Linked DNA regions of Drosophila melanogaster. The protein of the gene in region 1 purifies or fractionates together with the protein of each later gene. This does not show direct contact. Each region holds a gene or a part of one and is shown on either strand. Other genes may lie near its edges.

The links.
Region 2: the proteins of chas (region 1) and jbug purify together in Drosophila melanogaster (affinity purification with western blotting, with the first as the bait; one study listed by BioGRID). This does not show direct contact.

What each region holds. Positions count from the first base shown.
Region 1 is NC_004354.4:17,690,467-17,697,335, reverse strand, and holds the start of chas (chascon), read left to right. Parts: upstream 1-2,948; 5' UTR 2,949-3,074; intron 3,075-6,869.
Region 2 is NT_033778.4:22,733,261-22,740,084, forward strand, and holds the start of jbug (jitterbug), read right to left. Parts: upstream 3,786-6,824; 5' UTR 3,582-3,785; coding exon 3,345-3,581; intron 937-3,344; coding exon 286-936; intron 46-285; coding exon 1-45.

The DNA.
Region 1 (6,869 bases):
TCAGCAAACTATTCGTTTTACTCAATGAAATCGAATCGAGTTCGTTCATTCAAGGCGAGGATCGCGTTAGGAATGCTGCACTGTGGTTACAGGTACGACAAACCGACAAGTTCCACTTTTTGTATGCCGCACAACAAATACATACAGTCAACCCCAGACAGATCACGGTTCTATAAAATATACATATATGTATATAATGTATGGCAGATACTCGCTTTGTGTGGGTCGAAGAAAGAAAGAAAACAGCATCAAGAATGAGTTAAGTAAAGTCGCGCAAATAACTCGATCGTTTCGTCATTTTGAGCAGCTATCAATATTTGATATATGTCCAAATACACAGACATGACTATATCCATATGTAAAATGTACATATGCAAATCGAATCGAAGATCTACACTGGGGAAAAAAGGTATAAGCAAGCTTATTCGGCTATTTCAACTCTTCCGATTAAGCTCTTGAAAATAATATCGTATGCATTATATAAAGCTGTTTAATTGGAGAGAGTAAATCTATCAAATTAAAAATTTTTTTAATATTCAACCGAAAGTATTTTTCTCTCTGCACATATACATATTTTTATTTTTATATCGCCTTGACGTCGAGCATCGTAAAATCCTCCGATTTTGTAAATTTGTTGACTTCAAACCCCGTTTGTGTGTCAACAGTAATATTGTGTTTAAGCCTGTATGTTTCTGTTTTAGTTTCTTGTTTTTTTTTTTGTTTGTTTCGAGAACGCTTGAGTTTCATTAACAGGCGGGGGCGGGTCGCCCGGCGAAGGCGTTCGAAATGATTTGGATTTGACTTTGGCTTTGGCCAAAAACGAAAATTAAAACTCATTTTGACCAAATGCGTTCGAAACTATGCGGCAAAACTGCGAGTGGGCCGCTCCGTCAGTTCAAAGTTGTTCGAAGGCAGCAATTATCCAAATGATCGAACGATGCCAAAGATCGGAGAAGTGGAGAACACAAAATCCGAGTCAAGGGGACGACAACAATATAATTGATCCTTTGATTTAGCATGGAAATGGGGATTTTTTTCTGTAGATTTCCAATCATTAAATTTCCTTAATAGGCAAACGAAACTCAGCCGCAATCATTGCTACTATAAGAGTTATTCACGAGTAAATAAAAAGCCCAGGTTCAATGGTAAATCAGTTAACACCATTTTATCGGTTGAATTGCACAATTGATGGGGTGATCGATCTGTTAAATAGACGCTTCAAAAATAAAACTTTGCAGGCGGCACAATCTATCCAAATTAAAATGAATTCAAGATATAATTAAAACGATTTTAAGCTTTTAAGAAAACAGTGTTGAAATGTGAAGTTAACTCAGGCAACTGGGAATATTTGTGAAAGAAGTAACTTAAAATTATACTTGATGAATCTTTTGATAAATAATATTAATTATCATGTTAATGCACTATCGAGTGGCTCCATCTCTCGGAATTTGTTGTGAACGCCCGTTGAGAAAAGAATTAATTCATGAAGCATACTTTTCAGCTCGCATTTAAACGGGAATGTGGTTTGAAACTCAGCTAAGCTAAGACGGCAACCGGTGAATCTAAATATCAAAAGCTAAAACATAATGTTTAAAAAGTTCTAGTGGAAATGCTAATTAAAAATGCTGAATAATTATTATTGAATAAATAAATTAAAAATATGTTTATGTGAAAATGTCATTAAATAATTTACAAAAACCTCATTTTCTTATTTCAAACAGAAATCGAGAAAAGGCTAAGGTTACAATCAGCAAAGTTAAAGAAAACTGTAAGAGAAAAGTAATCCGTAGTACATTCGACTCTATATTTATGAAACAAATCTGACTAATCTGCAGCGGCTATGGCTTTAAGCAAGACCATCAAATCAAAAGCTGGCGCCAAAGACGAACAAAACGAACTGGTGAGTGCTAGACGGACCCCTTAAAACCACCCACTGCCCCCTAACCCATCGCAGTTACTTACAATACCATTGCTTACAGTTGTGGTCAAAAAAATAGTGGTATCTGCGTACTTTTGACAGAGAATTGAACCATCTTTCTTCAGAATTACTAAGCATGAGAAAAAACGATTTATTCGATCTCTTTCAATCTCTTTAACATTTCTGCGTTAACAAGTTCTACATGTTTCCTTTTTATATAGCTTCTTAATGTCAAAAAATAATAATAATATAATATATAATAATATATATGAAAACATGATAAATTTGTAATATTTAAAAAATATATTTTGAAAACAGAATGAAATCACGTTTAAATGCGTGCAAGACTCATTTTTAATTTGAAAATTTAATAAACTAAGACATTTCTTTCTCACAGCATAAATTAAGACATCTTTTTCGAGATATTCTGTTATTTTGGTAATTTTCATGTCATTAAGTGTTCAAAGTACCACATGGCCCTATTATTTCGACCGCAGCTGTACTCCCCTGTTGGCTCGAAGTGTACTCACATTCGGGCCACGTTAATCGCGTAAGGTGGCTCAGGTAAAGCTCTCGACGAGCGGGCAAAAACAATGAATGGCTGCCAGCGTCGACGTCGGCAGAGGCAAAAATACAACGAACAAAAAATAATAAAGTTTTTCAGCTCAGGTGTAACAAACTAACGGTGCAGTTACCGACGGCCAGCAGTCGCAGACGCGCCATCGAACACGCCGCTCGCGATCGCGCGCTCATTCGGATTTTCCATTTTCCATTTTCCGTTTTCCAGCTGCTCAGCGCAAAGTTTTTCCAGCTTATTCGGTTTTTTTTTTCGGCACGATCGTTTTCCGTTTCGGTTTCAATTTCCATTTCGTTGGCGCTTCATTTAACACAGCCGCTTAAATTGAAAACCCCTCGAATGGAATTGATCTAAATTTAATTGCGATTTGTTTTGTTTGTTGATTGTCGCGTTGCACTTGATTTTTTATTTTGTATTTTTTTTTTTTTTGTATTTATTTGGTTTTATTGTTCGTGCGTTTTTTTTGCGCTAATTGCCTGAATGGCGAAGGCAAAGTGCAAAGTGTGACAGTGCAAGAGATAAAAATAGCCAGCGATCGCGAAAGAGAGAGTGAGAGGTGCAGCGAAGGGTGAGCGGGAGGCAAGTACACACGGAAAAAAAAATGTGCATCCAAGAACTTGTTCTTGGATCGTGATAGCAGGCATTCGAAAGGTATTTGGCTGAATATTTGCATAGATATGCCCAGAAAATGTAAGGTGCATTTCGATATTTGAAAGTTCTCGTGGTCTACACTCAACAAAATACTTGCATTTGCATTTTGTCAGTAAGATGTATGTATAAAGGATAGACCATATCCTCATTGAATCGGTAGTTGTAGTTGGACATGCGCACATTTCACTGGTGCGCTTCGTCACTATGCAGATTTATGTTCCCAGTGATATTGATGCTGTACATGCTTATATCTAAATGTATGCAAATGTTATACGCGCAATTTTGATCTTGATACAACAGTAAGGCAGTGAGAATAGAAAAATATTTATGTAAACGTGGAATTTCAAGACCATAGTAAATAGTGAACACTAGCTTGAGGCGAAAAGCCGCGAACAATTAAGAAAACTGGGCCAACAAATAGATTTAGCTCAACAACTTATCTGCATATGCGTGGAATTTCTCGCGATGAGCATTGTTCGTCGTTCAAAACATATGCACTATACTTACATAAATATGTATATGTATGTTTTTTTGTGCTGTGCAGAATTGTAGAATTGGATATTTATTTTTATGCGACCCATTCCCGTTGCCAGATCTCGTGGCCCAAGTGGCGTATACGTGCAAAAAATTAATCATTAACTCGGGCTTTTTTGCCTTTTTGCTTTTTTTTTTGCACTCACTCTTCGTCGTTCGTTTCGTGTGTTTTGCGCTTCGTTTTGCCGCTCTATTCGTTGTCGTGACATTTGTTGTTGTTGTTGTTGTTGTTCGGCTGCATATTTGGCAAACAACAAACAATTTAGTTTGTACTTCTATTTTGTTGCCATTTTGTTGATCTTTGCGTGTTGCATCACTCAACCCACATGGCCCATCGCTCATACGCAATGTTGGCCCAACGAATTAGTTCTACTATTGGTGCAATATTGCCAGTTTGTCAAACCTAAACCCAATATTCCCCGCACCCCTACCACCACCGGCATCGCCACCACTTGGCAGCGGGCCATGGAAATATTTTCCCACCATTAAGAGGCCCCCAAAGTCCGAGAGATCAGGCAATATAACAACAAGGCCTGAGAAACACTCACATATAGCAACAAATCAAAGCCTGCACACAAAGTGTTGGCCACCACACAGCGAGAAAAGGGATGGCACTCTTGAATATATTTGTTCAATTCATACGCTCTGAGCTTAGTACTTTAGTAAATTATTAAGAGTTATCATATTTTAAAGTTATGTAATCAGTATACTTTCCAATTACATCAATATTTATACCAGAAAATATTATTCATTTAATACTTTTCTTTTGTTAGAAGAAATTCAAAAGCCCAAATGATTTCATATTCATTTAACTAGCAAATCTCATAGCCACAACAATACTTTTAATAGCATTGCCCAAGTTTTTTCCAGTGCATTGAAGCTTCAAAGGGGTTGGAATGAAGTGTGGGCTGCGGGCGGTGGTTTTCACTAACACCCACAACTAATGCAGTTGTTGTTGTTATATCAGTTTGCTATTATTATTATTGTGGCTGTTGTTCTTGTTGTTGTTGTTATTGTTGTTGTCGCCTGTTAGTTGCCAGTTATGTGTGGCTGCCTTTTTGAAAAAAGAGTTTTGTTGCCTGGTTGTTTATTGTTGTTTTTATACGTGCTCAACTTGTTTGTCCGTTGTGGTTGTTGTGGGTGAACTATTTAAGATTTTTTTTACGCTCTTCTAAAGAGGAAAACCTCTTTTTGGCCTGTGTGTTGCGTTTTTTGGACAGCAGCCACAATTCAATGTCTTTGTATGGCCAAAAGGCGTGAATTAAATGCAACTACAACAAATGCCGGTGGGAAAAGGGGACTTTTGGTTGGGCAGTAGGGGCTATTGGGGGATTGGCTGGGACTAGTTGTTTTGGATACCTATTCGTCGTTGGTTGACCAGTGCGTGACTTGTGGGCTCGGCAACAACTTTGTTGTTGCTGCTCAGATCGCACAGCTCAAAGCCTTCACATAAGAAGTTGCTGTCGCAGCACACGAAAAAAAAAATATAAGGAACTGGATTAGCACACGAAAAACAAGTGATTCATATCAAAATTCTTTGATTGCAAACAAAAAAAGGTATCAATATGAACCAAACTTCTTAAGCAATGCTTTTCATTGTCGCTTGGTCACACAGCCTGAGCAGTGTGACCCTGTTATCCAGCCTAGAACGAATTGCTAGACAAGTTTAATGCATTCAAAAAACTATTCATCTGAAAGCTCGATTTTTTCCAGTGCTTTGCTGCTGTTGCTTTTGGGTCAAGTAAAAGGCATTGCGATTGCATTAGGAATTGTCAAAGTTTGCCAATGCTGCGACTCCAAACTCCAGCTCCCCCGAAATCAAGCGAGATTTTTCAATTGGTGACTCATGGTTGGGCGTGACTACCACCACCCCCTACCCCCTCCCCACCCATCGATTTTGGCCCAAGTAAGCCTGTCACAAAAGAGGAGGCATCGGCTTTGGCATCGCCTTAAGCGGCACACAGACAATCCGAAGTCAGAAGCTTCTCTGCCATATTTTTACGTTTTTTTCTTTTTTTTTTTTGTTGCGGTGGCTTCCATTGATTCCCTTTTACAAAGCAACAAATCGATTTGACCGGAAGCAATTACAAAAATGGCCAAATTGCAGTCACAATTAAGTGTGTGTGTGTGTGTGTTAGTTGTGGTGGCCTGACGTCATTGGCAGATCGCTAAAAACTAAAACCGAAAATAGCAAATCAGCCAGTCGACAACCCGGTCAAGATTTATTGTTCGTTTGCCTAATTATCGATTCAAGAATCGTTTTTCCCGCACCAACGAGCTTGTGGATGTATGAACGTGGATATATCGCGTCTGAGGAACATCCGTAGGAAGCAGAATCTCAAGTTGGGCAGATAGTTCACGAAAACGATGGTCAACATAACGTTCGAATTGCTAGAACAGTTAGTATTTCTTGTTAGTATTGGAAAACTACAGTTCAGATTGCTAAAGATTTGTGGCAGATTAAATAAATCTTAGAGCAAACAGAACTAATAGAAAGCCAGTTTGGTGATGTTATAACTGAAAATATGTTATATATGCATACTTAGAAAATTCCAATAAAATGTAAACTACTCAAATAATTTATCGACCTAATTACCGATTCAAGTATTACATGTATTTCGCAAACCCCTTTACCAACTTTCTGTGTAAATCCAGCCAGATATCTTCGTGTATAACCAAATATTCCCTAATACAGCAACTGCAGTCAGAGGGCAACATTTTCACAGGCCACAGGGTCTGGTTTTTTTTTTGTTTTGTTTGTTTTGCCATCGCCGTGGGTCTGGTGCTCTGACCTTTGGCCGCTCTTTGGGTCCAGCTAATTCAAAGTGGGCCCAAAAGTTTGTTTTGCGTCCGAATTTCCACTTTTATTTTCCATTTCATCGCCTTGAACTGTGCACGCTGGCCTTTTGGCTTGCTGCCTGTATTTTCTTTTGCTGGTTAACGAAAAATATACATGTATATATCTTCGTTACCACAACAGATATAGTGGCTCAAATGCCGGACCCAAATCCATTTATGGCCCTTGGCTGCGGCTTAATGAGCTGGTAGAACCGTTCTAGGCTTAACGCTTGAGAAATTTAACGCCCACTGAAACGGCGGGAGGCGTATCATCCATGGTTATCTCTCAAACGAATATGGGTACATAATTTAAAAAAAAAATTTTGGTGGAAAATATACAACACCAACACC
Region 2 (6,824 bases), on another chromosome or scaffold:
TCCCTTAATAATTTCGCACATAACGCGTCCATCGTTCCAGTCGGTCTGCGAAATGAAAGTGCCATTATGGGATACGATTATTATTGGTTGGAAAAATACGAGAATTAATAAGTATTTATGTTCTTTTTAATGCAATTGTTGCAGATGTACATTAACATTTGTTCAACGGATTAAAAGGTCATATTTAAATGCGGTGAAAAAGCGTGTTTTATTGTAGAGCCATAAGGATTTATTAAAAAAGAAGGCTGCTTTATAACTGATATGTGATTATGGATATTAACATACCGTAAAGTTCTTCACAGGGTCCTTGACCTGCGTATTCACCCATCGCATGGTGGCATTGTAACCAGGACCACCGGGCTTCATGAAGTACGAGAGGTACGTCATGCCGGACAGCTCATCCAACCAGGGCGAGGCGAGGTACTCCGGTTCCAGAACCTTGGGCACTCCAAACTCGCGCTGAGCCAAGTCCATGGCCTGGGTGCAGTTGCGCACACTCTGGCTGGGATCGAGACTTCGCCAGTGCGGGAACAAGCCCGGCTGGCAGTAGTCCAGGAGCGCCGCCAAATTGACGCCACTATTCCAATCGGTGGTCAGATTGGTGATCCTGCAGTCCGGCAGAGCGGCCTGCAGCCAGGCCAGCATCAGTTTGCGCGGCGGGAACTTGCTCCTTCCGATCTGGTAGCGCACGATAAGGGACCAGATCAAGCCCAGGATCAGCTTTATGTTCCCATTCACAATGTCCACGTTGCCGATGTTCACCAGCTTGATGTGATCCGCCTCGATGGACTTCAGCGCCGTGGTGGCGTTCTCCAAATAATGATGCTGGTTGGCGGGTCGGCGATTCCACGAGGGTTTCAGTGGACGCGTCTGCAGATTCTCCACAAGGGCGCACAGACAAGTGCCATCGCAGAAATCGGTGGCCCAGTCATGAACCTGAGAGACAATGGGAATTTGCATTAACTTCTCCGTATCATTAGAAATAGTAATGGGAAAGTTTGTGGCAAATAATTAGATTACTGCTGGAATACATTCCGTTTAGCAACGCAAGTAATGTGGCAAGTAAGAGATGGGAGTGCATTCCATAATAGGTTTATTATTATAATTGCATTTAATATGATATTAGCTTTTTACGGTCTAATGGATTTGCAAAATGTACTTTTATTAAGTGGGTAGTTTTTACTTTTCCATTCTATATAGATTTAATTTTAAAAAGCATGCTAACCCAAAACAAAAAAATGTTCGAAAGAAGAGATTTTTTATCTTTATTTAATGACTCTAGCAGCATTTTCTTTATAGCTATGCATTAGTTGAGATTACTAGACTTGCTGTAGTACATATGTACATAGTTCCCAATGGAGATTAGCAAATGTGCGAAACGCCTACCATGTCTGCGCAAATGCAAGAAGGTCGCTTGACTGGCAGCCTTCCTAATGAGCAATCAACGCCCCTTCCGCAAACTGGTGGCCCACTTTGCAAGGTAAACCGCTTGCTCGGAACTTGGAGCATGGAGCTCAGATCTCGGAACATGGCACATGGAGCTCAAGAATGGGCTTGGGAACCCAACAGGTTCGCTGCTCCGAACTGAGCGGCTTTCTCCGCCCGGGTGCAACCAATTGTGCGCGATTTTAAGCATTTGACATAAAGCTTTTTATCTGGCTGCTGTCGGCATTCGATTCGACTGGGGGGAACTCCACTCCACTCCACTCAACTCAACTCAACAAATAAAATACGACAAAAAACTGGAGAACTGGGTACGGAGACAATCGCGTGTCTGTTGCTGTTTGTTTGTGCCTAGGAAAATATTCATTGGATGCCATAAAAATCTCACATCGCACATATGTAGTTGCTCCATGGCTCTCTAACAAGCTGCCGCAGGTTGTTATTTGTCGCTGCTGTTATTCCGCCCTTAAATTTTTAAGATTCCTCTGATTTTACGATATGAACTCGAGTTTCGTTGGGAGTTGCGTTTTCACCTAACAAAATATATATGTACTTTTATTTGCATATAAATTTTTGCTATATGTCAGAAAATGTCTAGTCATTCTATTACGACAGTTCCATGGTGGCAATCATTTTGAGATAATTTAATTCTACCTGCCGCAACTGTTGTTGCACTGCATTAAAACGTTAAGGTCATACAATGCAGTCACTTTGAATATTTCTCTCCGTGTATCTGCTCCCATCAAAGCATTTCCCTTTTGTTTGCACATGCATTTGTCATACAAAGTGGATTGCAATATTATTTGTCGCATACGCATGAACTAGAATTGTAAACAGCGTAAAAAACGCAAACTTGGATGACTCGTTTTGGTTTGGTGACCCAAATAGACGCCAGCCAGGTCACAATTAGCGCTGTTTACTAAGGGGTCTTCAGCCTTGCTCATCACATATGTACACATACACGTATGTATGTACGTTTTTGGCCCAACCGAAAAAGTAAAAAAAAAAAAATAAAACCCCGAATTTTATACTCGAAACCGGGCAAGATCGCGCACAAAAGCTTTAGCTTGTTTTGTGTATTGTAACTGCTAATGGGAACTCGATGCGTTGGCCTTGGCATTCAACCGGCCAAATATGGTCGGTTCAGGTCGTTTCAGTGCGGTGCGTGTGAGAAAATCCGTCGAAGCGAGTGACAGTTCAAAAGTCCCTGGACAAATGAAATGCATTGTTGGCAGTACACATAAGTCCGTGTGAGTACTCTTGGCATCATTGTTAATGTAATTGTCGTTGCTGCCATTGGAGTTCAAGATCTGCGTGGGCGATTGAGCCGAGTTTTATGAGCCCGGCCTTTTAGGGAAACTCGCGGAAGAGCTCGAAGCCCCAGTTTATGATGGCGATTTATACTTTTACGTGTTCTGTCACCAGTCAATGCGCTCGTTATGCGATTATATTTAGCTTAAATGGGATCAGTATATGAACTTCAAAAACCTTGCTTTTAAAGTGCTTCTTAATTGCGATTTATAATAATCGAAAATTTTATTTGTATAGAGTTCAATTAAAAAGTGTTCATTATTTCACATATTCATATTTTGTTTTCTATCCCTAATTACACTTCATTAAGCAGTGCCACTTTTTCTATGTGCAACTGCCTTCGCAAATCATTTCCTGGCTAAAATTCCAGATCTAAACGTTTTGTATTTCACTCATCGATTCTCAGGCCCTGCTTCATCAATAGTTCTACGAATTCCACATTCAACGGAGCTAGCCCATTGATTGGGTAATTGTTTTTTGCGCTTGATCGATCAGATATTCAGTCGGCGGCAGGCATTACTCAGTCGGTTAGAAAGTGTTGCATAATCGGAATGTAAATATATCTACAATATATCTATGGCTTAACTCACCTGCATTCCCGTTTCACGCAAATGCTCGTTGACCCAGTTGCGGAATGTGTTCGCCTGGATCTCTACCCAGAGGTCCTCGTTGCCCCGTATGTTCATACCCTTGGCGGCGGTGCCCTCGGGACTCCGGGCCACCAGACCGGCATGGGTGATCTTCTGCGTTTCGGTGGTTCCATCGGAGTTGTGCTTGAGCAGCCCCGCATGCGTCACCTTGGCGCCTTTTATGTCCTTGACGTCCATCTTCACTGCACGTCACTGCACTTCACCTGCGACTCGCACATATGTATGTACAGATGTAACTCGCGTTCGAAACACTGATCGGGAGAAATGGATAGATCGCGATGAGATACTTCTGATCGCTGTAAGTTGTAGCTATGCTATTCAGTTTCGGTTTCAGTATCAGTTTTAGTTTCGTTTGCACGCGCTCGCGGCCCGAAGCGAACTGGAACTGCGCTTAGCTGGTCGATCTGGGCGGCTCTGCTCTCTTGGCCTGGCCAAAACAAACGATGACGTCATGGCCAAAGCTCAAAGCTCCAGAGAGCAGCAGGAGAATTTATAAAAAAAAATGCGGGGGGTTTCGCCAGCGAATGTGTGTGTGCGAATATCTCTGAATCTGGCTATAAAGCAAAACTGGTTTCGTCGCTTCCAAGCCAAAACGAAGCGAGCGAAAAGGAAAATTGAATACAAAAATAACAAAAAGGCGAAAATAATACAAAAAAAAAGAGTCTGTAAAATAACAGAAATCACTTAGTTTGGAATTTCGCCGCGGCAACAGCAGGCAAAAAGCGAGCAGATCTGGTGGGCAGTACTGTGGATGCCAGTGGTTGTCGTGAATGTGGCTGTTTGGGCAAGTCTTTCACAAACGTTAGAAGGCCAACATGTGTGTAAACGTGGGAGCCACCCCAGAAGATAATGGACGTAATCACAGCAATGAAATCTGCCACGATCAATTGTCAATTGTTCGCCCGTTTTCACTTGTCGCACTTTTACCCAAACAATTTGTGCAAACCGAAAGTTGGCCGTCTGAATGGCCTTTTTGGCATTTTTCCACACGGCGTTGCGAAGACAACGAGGCGTCAAATGACCGTCTAACCAACTTAATTATAGGAAATCCGGTTGCGTTTCTAAACAAGTCAATTGCCACAGATCGCATATATCATAGCACGTCCAGTTCTGAGCGAGGCTGGTATGCAGATTTTGAATACGAATACGAATACTATTTATTGACAAACACTTTTCGGAGAGGTAAACAACTCTGGGATGACATCACTCATCACTTGCTCGGCACAGCGATGAGTTGTGGCTTGAGCACTTTTTTAACGCCCCGACAGGAGAATACAGTGCGAGAAAATCATGCTGACTAATATTACAAAAGACAGTTGACGTAGCTAATCTAGTAACTCTTCAATGGAATTCCTCTTAAAACATCAATTAACTACTTAAATACACCGCTTTGCCGCAAACTAATTTGTACCTTAATTTATTTTAAGCAGAGATGTCATTGTTGTGTTTTTGTCTCAGTGACAAAACTGCGTGGCTTGGATGAAATAAATTAACCAGCGGGGACAGCAAAAAGTGGAAATTAATGAATTGCTCCTCGGACTTATGAGTGATCCCGTGGCTGATGTCATTTACTGACACTTGACATTGGCAATGAACCTAATTAGTTGCACTCGCCAGCGGAGTGGAATGAGCCCCACTACTCGGCGAGTTCTATAGATTCAGCTGGCGGCAAGGTCATGGGAATGGTCATGATAATGGTATTGGTGGTGCTATTGGCCAAGGGGAATGGGAATGGTAATGGTAATGGGAATGACCAATCCGCTTCTTAGTTTACTCAGTTGGTCAGCAGGTAAATATCGAAAGTGTTGTCGTGACTTTAAATGGCAGAAGAGGGCCAGCTAGCACACCTAGTTTAGGGCATTACGTAATGGCCGAAATTTTCGACTTTGAATGGGCAAAAGTGTACGTATCGTAGGCTACAAATCGGTGTATCTATATCACAGAATGCGATGTGCACGTAGGTGTCTGGCATTTTTTACACTTTTCGATTTGTTTGCTGTCCGAATATACATTCGTATATACTTATTTCGCTTTTTGCCTTGCAAACCCACACGGCCAGCCAAATCTCGTAGTCGTCGTCATCGGGACAGCCACCCACATGGTTGGTTGGTTCAACGCCTCGTTCTAGACGTGGGTGCGATTTCAAGTTTGATTTGTGCCAAAACCGTGTACCAAATGGCCATTGATTTCTCAATGATTCTGTAGTGGCTGCCTAGCTACAACTCTGTTTGGATCCGAGCTGTGGGAATATATTTGGTTAGATGTTCTATGACAACGTCATTAACTTTGAAATATATGAGATTAACTGGAGTGGAGGTGAAGCCCATAATTATGTTGATGGATGGTTACGGAATTTACTACGAAAGGCTGTTCTAGAGATGAACCTCGAAAAATAAATGATGATTGAGTTATTTCATCAATTAGGTTTCTTAAACCCTTTTTTTTTTCAATATTCGATTTCTATTATAATAGTAACAGGCAGACTTAACTTTACTACTCAGTTGGACACAAGCCAATTGTTGCTTGGATTCCCTGCCAAAAGAATATAATACGATTTAAAAGTTTAATACTACATTGGCATCCTTTCCAAGATTATTATAAGTAGATTCAGTGCTATTTCCTTTTTAGACTAGGGGTGGGCTGTTTGTTTTGTCTGTTGGTATTACATATTCGACTTCCTGTTGGCCAAATGCGATTGTAACACTTGCCACGCCTTACAGTTAAATGATGGCCTATTAGCGCACGCTTCTATAGCGAGTAAGCGCTTATTTTTGGCATCATTTTTATGGCGGTTCGTCATAAATAGAAAACACTCCAAACGATGTGCTCACACATACGCACAGACATACATATGTACATATGTGTTCCCTGCTCTTTTTGAGGCACTGCCAAGTTTGTGTCTTCAGTCTTTTGATTAATGCCGTTAGGCGTCGCCAAAGCGCAGCCAAGCCAAACCTTCTTGGTTCGTATGAATGATTGTGTGTGTGTGTTCTTTTGTTTTTTAATTTTTGCTCATTACTCTGCCTCGTTTATTCGCCTAAAAGCCGCAGCAATTACAATTGAAAATGCCTTTTAGCCAGCACTTAAAACCAATCGAACAGCGCCAGCGGAAAAACCAGATTCAGATTCAGACGCGAGCCCAGACTCGGGCTCAGATTCAGATTCGCTTTCGGTTTTGGCTTTAGTTAAAGTTTTGTTTTTGTTTTCGCTTCCCCTCGCATTCGCCTATTATGCAATGGGCTAGGCGGCCAGATATCTGAATCTGAATATCTTATAACTGCGACTTTTGGTGTTTATGCTGGCGGCCAAGTCTGTTTTGTTGGTTTTTCTTCCGATTCACACGCCTCGAGGCCCGTTCACGTGTTTAGCACAAATTCCGCATGAAATTGTATGGATACATATATATACATATATATCCCC